Rattus norvegicus: one gene and its partners. The protein of the gene in region 1 interacts with the protein of each later gene in a pairwise test. Links are inferred from orthologs where the notes say so. Each region holds a gene or a part of one and is shown in the gene's direction. Other genes may lie near its edges.

Region 1 (3,904 bases):
CTCACCTAAAAAGCTGAGTAGAAACACAAGCCGTTTCCCCAAAGAGGCCCTGTGTATTGTGTATCCTAAGAGAAAAAACTCCAGAGTGTGCGTGTGTGTGTGTGTGTGTGTGTGCGCGTGTGTGTGTGTGTGCGTGTGTGTGTGTGTGTGTGCGCGTGTGTGTGTGTGTGCGTGTGTGTGTGTGTGTTGAAAGTATATGTATGTTTTTGAGTACATTATGCATTTATGCATTTAGTGTATATACATGTGTGTCTTATGAGGGTATATGTTAATATGTGGTATATTCTGTGCATTTATATGTATGTGTATAGAGATTGTACATATGGATATGCAGATGTGTATGCTCATAAATATCTAAGTATATGTATATGCATGAGAGAATATGAGAATATCTATATATTCACATATGAGTAAATATGTGTTTGTGCTTGTATATGTACATAAATGCATAGGTATGAACGTGTAGCTGTTTTTGCTGGTGTGCCTGTCTTGATTTCTTGAATATCACTCCATTACAGGCAGTGCCCTAGTGATGACCTTTGTCCTCTTGGCCTTACTTGATCCTGGTGGGCCATGTCTAAGCTACTGTCTTCTGTGGTTGAATCTATAGGTTTTCCCATGGCCAGTTGGTATCTGTGGATGAGCTGCGTCCCTTCCAGGATCCAGACTTAAGCTTACTACAGACTGGCTCTGCATGTCTGGCCAAGCACCAGGATGGCCTTTGGCACCCAGCACGGATCACTGGTGAGACTGCCGACAAGGACCTACCTGATGAGACCCTTTTCAAAACACCCTTTTTGTTCTTCATACAGCCATTCTCCACCTCCTCAGGGTTGGGCTCTGGGACTTCACCTAGGCCCAAAAGGAGCAGGTCTGCCTTTGTCCCAAGCCCCTTCCCTTCCTGTTTCCCACTTCGCTCCTAACTGGTTGCTTAACCTGTAAAAACTGCTGACCTACACCTTGTCTCTGTCACCCTAGATGTGGACAATGGCTACTATACTGTTAAGTTTGACTCGTTGCTGCTGAAAGAGGCTGTGGTGGAGGGGGACAGCATCCTGCCTCCTCTACGCACTGAGGCTACAGATTCATCTGACTCAGACACTGGTGATGCAAGTGACTCCAGCTATGCCAGAGGTATGGCAAAAATCAGCGCCTACAAGCCAGGGTGTTGAGGGAATAGAGCAGATTGGTGAAAATTACCCAGATAGCTGCAGAACAAATGATGTGGTAAGTCTGACTTGGCACAGTAATGTACAGGAGAGGACCTGAGGGACCAGGGAGTGTGTGATGACCTGGGTAGGACCCAAGGCCTAGCTTTTGCCTTTAAGAAATAGACACAGCAATTGCATGCCTCAGTCAATGTTCCGTGAAGCAAGGTGGCAGCACACTGTACAGAGAAGGGAATGCTGTTGCTAGAGCTGCCAAGAAGTCACAGGAAGGAACTGAGTGTAGGGGGTAGGAAAGGGTGGCTTCTTCAGATGACTTCCCAGATTTAGAGCTTAGGTGTTTGGTGGGAAGGGCAGAAGAGATCTTAGCAAAGGGAAGATGTTTCCAGGTGAAATAGAGATTTCAGGAAATGAACCAGTAGGTAACATATACTCTTCCTGAGGGGTTGGTTAGGATAAAGACAGGAAGATGTTCCTAGGAACCTGTGGTGTGAACTGGTAGTTTCCGGGCTCTTCTCCGTGGTGGCAGATGTAAGCTAAAGTGAAGTTGGTCATACAACAGCTGTCTCTAAAGGCAGTCGCCACACACATAGTGCACACAGCATGCTTGGGAACTAGAGGAGACCACCGTCTAGGAGATCTGGCCCAACCCAGGAACTGAGTCCTGGACCCCTCTGTCTCCTGCAGTGGTGGAAGCAAACACAGTGGACACTGGGACCTGCAGTTCTGCCTTTGCTGGCTGGGAGGTACACACACGGGGCATTGGCTCCAAACTCCTCGTCAAGATGGGCTATGAGTTTGGCAAGGGTAAGTGCTTGCTGCCCTGAGATGAGAGGGAGGCCTCAACCCAGCTCAAGAGTCCAGCAGGTAGCACAGCCCCTGTCTTTCCCAGGTTTGGGCCGGCATGCAGAAGGCCGGGTGGAGCCCATCCATGCTGTAGTGTTGCCTAGAGGGAAATCACTGGACCAGTGCGCAGAGATACTGCAGAAGAAGACAAAGCAAGGCCAGACTGGTGCCAGCAGGCCTCCAAGATGTCGGAGGAGGAGTAGTAGACCTGAGGGCCGCCCACCCCCTCGGAATGTGTTTGACTTTTTGAATGAAAAACTGCAAAGCCAGGTTCCTGGGACCCCAGATGCTGGAGTGGATACCCCAGAGAGAAGGAACAAAGACATGTATCATGCCAGCAAGAGTGCCAAGCAGGCTTTGAGCCTGCAGCTCTTCCAGACTGAGGAGAAGATAGAGCGGACCCAGCGGGACATCCGGGGCATCCAGGAGGCCCTAACCCGCAACACTGGCCGGTATGTGTGGGATCCAGCTGAGGCAATATGGGCTCCAGTGGCTGTGCCCAGAGGATACCTGCTAAAGGTCACCTGACCTGAGTAGCAGCTGAGTCTGAGGTGGTCTGGATATTGGAGGGTGGGCATTGGCTACAGCAGCTGGGGGCTTGGTACTGGGGAGCCAGGAGGCAATGCTGACCAGCAGGCTCTCCCTAGGCATGGTATGGCGACAGCCCATCTGCAGGAGAAGCTGGAGGGAGCCCAGCGGCAGCTGGGTCAGCTGCGTGCTCAGGAGGCCGACCTACAGAGGAAACAGCGGAAGGCAGACACTCACAGGAAGATGACGGAGTTCTAGTGGCCCTGCCTGGGACTCAGCTCCCAACTGCCTTGGCAGAAAGACAGCTGTCGCCCTGACGCCTCAACAGCACTGAGAAGAGGAGCCAGCCCCTTCCTAGGACATCCCTTATTTAGCCTTTTCAGCCTAAAGTGTGAACACTGCTGAGTAGAGATGGGACATCAGGGCTGATTTTGAACTTATCTGCCCACCAAGCCCACCTACCAGTGTTTTGGGGTATCTCCTTAGGACATTAAAGTGATTTCATCATAACTCTCTCAGTGGAGACTCAGCTGGCTTCAGGATCTCTGGGGACAAAGGGATCTGTGTAGGTCCTGACAACAGATAGGTGGGCTGTGGGAGTCCCAAATGAGGCCACTGCCTCTGTCTAGGGTCCAAGAATCCAAGAGAAAAGCACTCTCCTTTTTATCCCTTCCTTGACCAAGTGGTAAGAACAGAACTCACGAACAGGCAGGGTGTGTGAGATGGAAACACCTTAGGGATCCTATCAGGAAAGCAGGCAGACCTGACTCCAGGGGGTTTGGGGTTCATTTCTGGTTTTCGGCTGCCATGGATAATCCATCCAGTTGACCTGCTTTGTTCACCTCACTAATGGGTGTCTGCCTCATTGGGGTAGAGGGGACTGTGCTTGTCTCTGTGATAATTGCCTTTGTGCAAGTTGCCATGATGAGGCGTGAGGCGAGCAGAGGCTGTGGGAGCAGCTGCGCAGGAGCTGTGTGGCTGCTGGGAGGTGCTGAGAAACACAGGAAGTGAGGTGAGGCGTCACCAGCAGCCCACAAAGACCTTCCTGGCTGCCCTAGACAGGGCCAAGCAGCAAACCCCCGGTGGCCTTGGTAAGTGCTCCCCCATCCTCTATCCTGGGCCAGTCCCCAACCTCTCCATGCCCTGGGGTCTGGGAGGGTTAGTCCCTGCCTGGCTAGGCCTTTGATAACTTGGCTGTAGCCAAGTTAGTCAGCTTGGGCCCACTCTGTATAAGAAGCCTATACTCCAGGCCTGGACAGGCAGGCCCTCACCCTGATTTTATTCACCCTGAACTCATGGGCAAGACCCTAATCAGCTCTACTAAGGGCAACTCCAGGAAAGGCAGGAACCCTGGGAAGGGAAGA
Region 2 (4,641 bases), on another chromosome or scaffold:
AGTGAATTCCAAGTCAGCCAGAGTTATGTAGAGAAATCTGTCTCAAAAATGATAATAAGGAAATAAAAAGCAATCTAAGACACTCAACATTAATGTCTACTTTCCACATACATGCATATCCATGCATACACACACACACACACACACACACACACACACACATACACACGCACAGTGGACTTTTATTGATGCTGAAAGCAATTTTCTCTGTGTAATTTTTGAAAGTGAAATAAAAACCACAATTAAAATCAGACAACATGAAACTCCAGTTTATAGTTATAGTAGAGGTGAGATCCTAGAACCAATGTCCATCTAGTTCTGTACCAGAGGTTCTTAACTCAGTGAAACTGTTAGCTGAAACAGACATCACATAATCATATTCCCAACATCCAAATATTTTTCATTTTCATGAAATTGAGACTTTCCTAAATAAAAAAGAGGAGACAGACTCCATATTTTTTTAAAAGTAAGATTTTTGTGGCTTCCTTGGCTCTATTCCCAAGTATAATGGGTAAGGAGCTCCGTCACAGATTACAGCTAAACCCTCATTGCAATTTCTCTCTCTGCTCTCCTTAATATAGGTAAGGACTGGGACTATAGGTTGAGGTAAATCAATTATGTGCCATGAACAATACCTTATGATTGATCTCCAACTTCAAAGGAAGGAAGAAGGGAGGGAAGGACGGAAGGAAAAAGAAAGAAAGACTGCTTTTCAAAAACAGCATAACGCTTCTAAAATGTAAACATGAGAAAGCAAAGCTTGCGTGTCTGACTATCCACTCAGTGCACATCCAATCTCACCAACTAAGCAGGGTTAGGCATGCTTAGTGCTTGGCTACAGACCACAAATTCTAGATGACCAAAGATCGCAATTCAGATCTTGATAACCAATTCATAGTTTGACTCAATTATTCTCATCAGTCTATAAAATGAATGCACATAATTTGCACTCAGCATAGACCTTTTCCTGTACCATGTAAGCACATACTTCAAACTCACTAAAAAAAAGACACTTCAAGATTGAGATTGCTAACCGCCATTTTTACAGTGGTTGGTAGCACAAACAAATACAATTTAATAAGCTGTGATGTCCATTTGTAAAGTAGACAAGAGCAATCAATTTTCAAAATCAAACCCTGTTGGAATATTACTTTCTGTATCTCCAATGATCTCTACCTTTAATTACTGATGGCTCGATTTTTTTCTTTGGTTCCTTATTCATTCAAAAAGGTAGTGCTTCCTATGGCCGTTTGCTGAAATAAGAATTTTTATCCAAGCAGCATGTGGAAATGGCGTTAGTCCTGATTTAGTAACCTGAAGTTATCCTCCTTTTACGAGGCATACAACTTCCTCCGTAAATAATCAACACTAATGAGATGTTTGTAGGAAAGCTGGCATCTGCAAGGCTAGAGAAAACATCGGTGTGTCCTGTAAACACTCATTTGAAGGGAGATATAAAAGTCTCAGGAAGCCAAAAGTCCTAGACCTTTGGGAGACTAGGCGAGACCTAAGCAATACACCATTCAATCTGTTCATTCCTTCTCAGAAGATGGCTTCCGAAGGCTCCCCTGACTGCTGCTCTTCTGAGCCCTATGCAGGGGCATCGAGCTGCACAACTGCCTCATTCTGCCCCACCAGCACAACTTACCTTCCCAGCACCTGCGCCACATCCAGATGTCAAACCCCGAGCTTCCTCTGCAGGGCTCACCTCCCGGCCGGTTGCCTCTCACCGTGCTACTTGACTGGCGGTTGTAACAGTCCTTGCCTGGTGGGGAACTGTGCATGGTGTGAAGAAGGGACGTTCAACAGTAATGAGAAGGAGACCATGCAGTTCCTGAATGACAGATTGGCCAGCTACCTAGAGCGGGTGAGAAGCCTGGAAGAGAACAATGCAGAGCTGGAGTGCAGGATCCGAGAGCAATGTGAGCCCGATGCCACACCGGTCTGCCCGGATTATCAGCGGTACTTTGACACCATTGAAGAGCTACAACAAAAGGTTGGGTGTCTCACTGCCCTAATGTTTCCCAATGTTCTCTGTTTTCCAATTCTGTTTTCTCTCATAGCTGTACTAGGGCAGGTTGCTTTGTGGATGTAAAACAAAGGAAAGGGGGATTCCCAGAGTTAGTTCAAATAATCAATCTCATTCTCAGAGAATTATTGGGTGACTATAGAAATGTCACCTTGCTGTAGACTTTGTCTACACTGTGAAGGAAATTGAGTTATGACGTCTTCTAAACCCCATTCTTCATGTATCATTGCGTGTTTATATTCTTTATCAAACAGATATTGAATGCCATCCATTTGAGTTCTGGAAATCGTTCTCTATTTGTGTGTATGTGTGCAAAATGTGGGGTTGGTGGGCGACGTGATATATGATCGTGTGGGGAGGGAACACATGCCTGAGTGTGGGTAAGGAGGTCTGGGGTCCATGGCAAGTACCTTGCGTTCCTCGCCTTGTTTTTGAGACAGAGTCTCTTCTTGAAACTGGAACTCACTGATTTAGCTGCAGTCCCTGAGGCCTGGCCAGGGAGCCCCAGGGATCTTACTGTTTCCACCTCCTTAGTACCAGGGGTTAACCGACACTGAGTATTATACTTACCTTTTTCACATGAGCTCTGTGAGATTGAACCCAGATCTTCCTACTCGTGTTTCAAACCCTTGACCAACAAAGCCACTTCTCCTTTTTTAATTGATGGATTTCTGTGACCACAGAGATGCAATTCTAACAAACACTAGCAGTGTGGGAAACTTCAACAAAGCTCAAAAGCCAGTGATGGTGACAAAATGCCCTGCATCACTGATAAAGGAAACCTTGAACCCCAGAGACGGCTCAGCAGTGATTAACAACATTGTACTGCTCATGAGCACCTGAGTTCAGTTCCTACCATCCAAGTGTGGCAGCTCACAAGCACCTAAAACTTCTCACCTTCTTCTCACTGCACAAGGCTACACTCTTACCAACATACAGACACACTCAAATGTGTACACTCTCATGTGCATACACATACTCTTAAATATACACGCTCACCTGCACATACACACACACACACACACACACACACACACACACACACACCTACACATACTAAGAAAGAAAAGGTGAAATCCTTCATTTTAGGAAGGGAAGGTCTTTTGCTTCTGTATTTTGTTTCTCAATTGGCACTGAATGTTTTTTTATTCTGTGAAGTGGCACAGTTAATAGGAATCATGGGTTGGAAGAGACATTATGTTAACTTGGAAAGACTTTCATAAACTAATGAGTGGCAAGGCTGTTAAAATAGATATGTGGATTTCTTCTAAAGAGCTCCTCACTAAATGATGACTTACCTCTTAGATATTGTGCACGAAGGCAGAGAATTCTAGACTTGCCGTGCAGGTGGACAACTGCAAACTGGCTGCCGATGATTTTAGGTCAAAGTAAGTCAAATTATGTTTATTTTGTTAAGCCACAGTGTGCTTTGTGTATGCAATTTACACGTTAAATTTTAAATTTAATTATAAAATAATAATTAACAATAATTAATGTCTTCCAGTAAGAGAGAAAATATTTTCTGCATAATATATATTTTTAACTGAGAATGTTTGAACCCTGAACTCACCTTCATTTGGAATGTAAGGAAAATTGAGGCGTGTGACTCTCTGGAGGCCATGTGTCATCCAACCCTGCATCCCAGTACTCTGAGCCAATTAAGCCACTTCCCTCCCTTTCTCCTACTCTGAAAGGTATGAGAGCGAACTGTCCCTGCGCCAGCTGGTAGAGAATGACATCAGTGGTCTTCGTGGGATCCTGGGTGAACTGACCCTGTGCAAGTCAGATCTGGAGGCCCATGTGGAGTCTCTGAAAGATGATCTACTTTGCCTTAAGAAAGACCATGAAGAGGTGAGTGGAGTGGCCGCTGGGCCAAAGACTATAGGAGGAGTTCTGTTGAGAAATCTCATGTGTATAAATTGAACAGGGACAGACACTGCCTATACTGGAACAAAACTAGAGACATTCTCACTGTGTAGCATGATTGCCCCAGTGTCTCTCAAGGTAGATGTGATGTACAGCATGCATCATTAACATAACCCTCATCAGTGGCACGGAGGTGAGGTCACTCTTTTTCCTGCCATTGCTTGGGTTGAGAAGTAACTCAACTCATGGTTTTTTCCATAGCTCTATTGTATAACAAGGAAATTGAGCTGATAAAACTGACTGTGTATCCCCTTCCAAAAAAGGGATAAACAATCACACAATACTTGGAATCATGTTTGTAGGTATTGTGTGTTTATAATTTGATTCTGTCATAAGCTATTAAAATGAGAAGCAGATTGATGTAACAAAGAAAAAATTTACTCTTTGAATATTTTGATGGTAACAATAGCTGGCAAGTGTGGATACCTTAGCTGGTAACAATAGTTGGCAATTATGGATACCTGAGCGTGTGTCATTAATTTTATAGATTTACTGTGTGTGTAGTAGTGTGTAGTAACTCTTCCCTGTCTCACAATAATCCTCTGGGAAAGGGTACAAAATTACACCTGTTTTGCAGACAAATAGCTGAAACATTTGGACCTAATAGAAAGAGTATAAGGGAAAATGACTCAGCAATTAAGAGTGCTGTTTGCTCTTCCAGAGGACCCAAGTTCAGCTTCCTGTAC
Region 3 (4,457 bases), on another chromosome or scaffold:
GCTGTCCTGGAACTCACTATGTAAAACAAACTGACTTTGAACCCACACAAATCTGCTTGGCTCTGCACTCAGGAGTGCTGGGATTAAAGGCACTTACTACCACACCTGGCTTAATTGATTGTCAATGTACATTTAGAAGGTTGTATTGGGTATTGTGAAAGTAACAAAAAGATATTCATTTGAATTTGTACTGATGGATGATACAAAAATAGAAGCTGTCATCTGCCATGTTTCTGTTGTATTTAATCTTTTGAGAATTTTTGAGGGACTAGAGCCAAGGAGCAGTCAAGGAGAATCTTGACATGAAGTGATACTCTGTGTTTGGGCTGATCATTAGAATTCTTTCCCCCCACACTTCTGGAAATAAATGCAATTGAGCAAGCACATAGGCTGAAGGGAGAAAGATACACAACCTCTTAAGTGTCACCTTCCCTCAACAACTTGCCATTACAGTGGAGTTTTAATGGATGCGCTATTTGTTGATTTCCTTCAGTCTAGGTGATTATGTCTATAAAATGTCTTTCAGGGTTCACTCTACTAAGGAGCACAGCAACTAGGCATGCTAGGGCATGTCTTTAATCCCAGCACTGGGAGGCAGAGACAGCACCTGATCTCTGAATTCCAGGCTAGCCTCTTCTACAGAGCATGTTTGAGGACAGCCAGAACTACACAGAGAAACCCTGTCTTAGAAAACCAAACCAAACCAAACCAAACCAAACCAAACCAAACCAAACGAGGACAGAGATAGGGTTAACATCTCCAAGTGCCTAATATGTACTCATATATACACAAACGGAGAGAGACTAGGGCAGAGGATTGGAGAAAAAATAAGGTGTCCAGTACGAATTCCTCCAATTTTCTGAACCCTATCCAAAACACCTATAGATTGAATAAATACTGTTCTGGGGTAAGTGGACAAAACGAGTCACAGTAAATTAACATGTTTCTCACCGCGGCTGGGAATCTGGCGCAACAACTGCAAATTCCTGTTCTGGAGTTATAAAATAATTGTGCCCTGCTCTGCCACTTACCAGCTGTGTGATCTTGTTTCCTTAAGCCTTCCTGAGCTTCAGACCCTAAAAACAAAAGTAAATACACAGCTGGATAGATTTCCTAATTAGAACTAGGCTTTTCCAACTTTCCGAACGAACTCCAGGCAGCAAGTGACAGCTTGAGGCTCATCTTCGTCCTTCGCAATCGCTCAGAGCGGCTCACAGCTAGGAGGAGAGGGGAGGAGCCCGCGGGGCGCAGAGCCATTCAGCCAATGGCACATCGGGCGGGACGGGAGTTCCCGCCTCCGGGCGGCGTGCGCGCGCACCACGCCGGCACGCCCGCCGCGGCGGCGCGCGCGCAGGCCCTGCCCTCGTCGTGGCCGCCATTTTAGCTCCTGGTTCGGGCCGCACGGAGCGGTCTGTGGTGGCGGGAGGGGTGGGGGTCCCTGCGAGTTGAGCAGCGGGCCTCTTCTGTGTGGATCCGGCTGCTGGAGTCTCTCTTCTTCCTTCCTTCCTAAGCGTCCGCTCTGGGAGTGCGAAGATGTCCAAGAGGCATCGGTTGGACCTGGGGGAGGATTACCCCTCCGGCAAGAAGCGTGCGGGGACCGATGGGTAAGACAGACCGGGTGCGCAGTCGCGGCTCGGGCTTTGTTGGCTTGTGGCGGGGAGCAGGCCCGGCAGCCGAGTCTTTGTCTGCCATCGGCCGGCTGGGGCGCGGGCCGAGTGTGTGCGGTCAGGGTGAGAGGCCTGTGGTGGCCACGAGGCCGCGGGCGGCGGGCGTGAGGAGCGGGCCGCGAGGCCTCGGTGCTCGCGTGAGGCCCGCAGCCGGGGAGAGTGTCCGGAATGGGGTGGCCAAGGGCACTGCCCCTTGAGCGGCCCCGGGCGGCGGCGGGAGCTGTCTACTTGGGGATAAAGACCAGCCGACCTCGGGGCGCACTGTTTGGCGGGAGACGGACGGCCTCCTTCCATTGAGGCACTTCAGAAGAGGCCGTTGCCAACTTCCGCCCTCTGCTTGCCCTCCCGCCATCTCCTTTATTTCCTGCTTTGCTTAAAAACCGGCCTTGCTAAGCATCAGTGGGGTAGGCCTGTGAAAATACGTAATCTCCCTCCGCTCTGTAAGTTATTTCTATCTCCTCCCGACTTTGGACGCACTTTTCAAAAAGTGATCTTAAGCGTGTTTGAACAAACAACACCCACGTGCAGATTGAGGAATGCTTACACCGATTCTTGGTCTGGCAGTTTGGTTCCTTTTCCTAGACTTTTGCAAAGACGGGGCATTTAGCATGTAAGCAGTTGTATTATCATTTTCCAGCTTTTCTGTGACAGTTCATACTTAAAATGTACTTTAGCTTATATTCCTACCCTTCCATTTTAATTAACTGTATGTTTATACTTTGGCAGTACAGAGATCTGTTTGGTTAGTTAAAAAAATATAACACAGAAGTCCGAATGTCCAAAACTGTTGTATGCTTTTATCATTTTCTTACGTCCTGTGACACTAGCTGTCAAGTCAGATGTGTGGTCTCTTGAGATTTTAAGTCTTTTGGGCTTGCTTTCTAACTACCAATGGGAGGTATAGGTCAGGATAGGATGTGTTCTGATGCTCTCCTTAGATTGAAATATTGAATATGGAAAGTAGGTTTGTTATGTTTTGATTCTGTAGTTTTTTTTTTAAAGCTTGTAATACTAAGCATTGTAATAATACAACATCCCAAGACAGCTAGCTATTCCCGCAAGCAAAAATTCCAAGCGTTCATATTTGAGCTCAGTCAGTTCTTAGGTAGAAATACAGCTCATGATTATTCTCCAAGGGAGAGCAACATTACAGTGATCTTTTCCATACTTTACAGTGGCATCTAGAAATCTCCTTTTCTCAACATGAAACATAAAACTGTAGTTAAACATTACCACCTGTCATAATGCCATTCTTATTGGATTGATAAAGTGTAGTGATTGTCACATTTGGCTAAGATGCAACTAATTTCCCACTTAGAGGTCACTCTGAGATAGTTCTTTTCAGTGTTTTTGTGTGTGTGTGTTCACTACTCAGTGCATTTATTTCGATTAGTGGCTCCACATTGATCACAGTGATCATGGTGATTTCTCTTGCTAATGTATAACATTGGTAAAATGGACTTTGGGTGTATCATGGTAGCTTCATGTTTTCTCTGAGTATTTAATATTTGTCAGTAAGTACAGGAGAGTTCAGTTGAAGAGTAATTCCTTAATTTCTAGAGATTCTGGAGGGCAGTTGTTGCTGTTTCGTAAGTGTTTTGAGTACTTTTTCTTATAGAACTGATTTTCTTTAGCAATGAGTTTATACAGTATTTGTGCTTGGTATCTATTGATTTTCTCTTCCTCACTTAGTTTGAAGGCACTTTTGACTGCCAGGGATTCTGTCCCTCCTCTCCTCCCTCCCTCCCTCTTTTCCTTCCTTTTTGCTCTTGTTTAGTGTATTTGACAGCATAGGCTTGTTCATTTTGTCACCCCAGCTGTCACCAGACCCTGTTGTCTCCATTCCAGCACACTTTTGTGTGTTTGGGTGTATGACCACTGCTTGTGGCAAGCAGAAGAAAACATGGAATTAGATACTTCCTCTTGACCATGCTGGCCCCAGGGGTCAACTCAGTTTTTCACTCTGAACCATCTCACCAGCTCTGGAAAATCTGAGGACATTTTTATTCTAATGGTTCTTAGTATTCCTGATCGAAACTCAATAATTATGATTCTTTGTAGGTAGAAGTGTGTTTCACTACAATCCTGTGGTAGCTGAAATTAAATAAGATGCAGTGAGCAAGAAATTTTCACACTTTAAGGTATAAAGAAAAGAGCAGTAAGTTACTCCAAATCATTATTTCCATCTTTGGAGACCATACTTATTCTTAAATACAAAATGTAATATCTGAGCTCTTGGAATTTGGGGCCTATTTGTGCAGTACTCCAGTTATAAGGCATATCTCTTGTCTTGCTCATTGATATTAAGTGCTTTCTTGGGTTTTTTTTCTATAGATATGTATACATATTAATGCCCATGCTTAGTAGTGTTTATATAAAATATCTGAAGTAGATGACTAGTTTCCATCCTTTTTAGCGCAGTATATTAGTGCCCGTTATTATTCCAAGTACAATTTAAATGGAACATCAGTAGTAACCAGTATTTGCCTGGTGCATTTCAGATATTCCAGGCAGCATTACATTATTAGCTTATTAAATGTTTTTAGTTCCATTTCAAAAACCATAGCTTGCACGTGAGCAAGGAAACGCTGTTCTCGATAATTGTCAGTGTAAACTAAAGTGCTATTTAGAGCACTTTTCTGTCTGTCCATCCGTCCGTCCATCATTTCTTTTTAAAAAGAGGCAGCATCTCTACATAGCCCTGGCTATTAGAAACTCACTCTGTAGACCATGCTCACAGAGATCAGCCTGCTTCTGCCTCCAGAGTACTGGGACTAACGTGTTTTAACC

Evidence for each region. The genes of interacting proteins can lie anywhere in the genome.
Region 2: the proteins of Zgpat (region 1) and Krt40 interact in binary tests that used the Homo sapiens proteins (3 or more experiments, as listed by UniProt). The two-hybrid records come from large-scale screens. The link is inferred for Rattus norvegicus from reciprocal best matches to the Homo sapiens genes ZGPAT and KRT40.
Region 3: the proteins of Zgpat (region 1) and Dhx15 interact in binary tests that used the Homo sapiens proteins (3 or more experiments, as listed by UniProt). The two-hybrid records come from large-scale screens. The link is inferred for Rattus norvegicus from reciprocal best matches to the Homo sapiens genes ZGPAT and DHX15.

What each region holds. Positions count from the first base shown.
Region 1 is NC_086021.1:188,864,865-188,868,768, forward strand, and holds the end of Zgpat (zinc finger CCCH-type with G patch domain-containing protein), read left to right. Parts: intron 1-610; coding exon 611-744; intron 745-978; coding exon 979-1,134; intron 1,135-1,853; coding exon 1,854-1,973; intron 1,974-2,058; coding exon 2,059-2,464; intron 2,465-2,659; coding exon 2,660-2,798; 3' UTR 2,799-3,050; downstream 3,051-3,904. UniProt on the Homo sapiens protein: Transcription repressor that specifically binds the 5'-GGAG[GA]A[GA]A-3' consensus sequence. Represses transcription by recruiting the chromatin multiprotein complex NuRD to target promoters.
Region 2 is NC_086028.1:84,995,807-85,000,447, reverse strand, and holds the start of Krt40 (keratin, type I cytoskeletal 40), read left to right. Parts: upstream 1-1,549; coding exon 1,550-1,996; intron 1,997-3,334; coding exon 3,335-3,417; intron 3,418-3,723; coding exon 3,724-3,880; intron 3,881-4,641. UniProt on the Homo sapiens protein: May play a role in late hair differentiation.
Region 3 is NC_086032.1:62,998,533-63,002,989, forward strand, and holds the start of Dhx15 (ATP-dependent RNA helicase DHX15), read left to right. Parts: upstream 1-1,365; 5' UTR 1,366-1,533; coding exon 1,534-1,604; intron 1,605-4,457.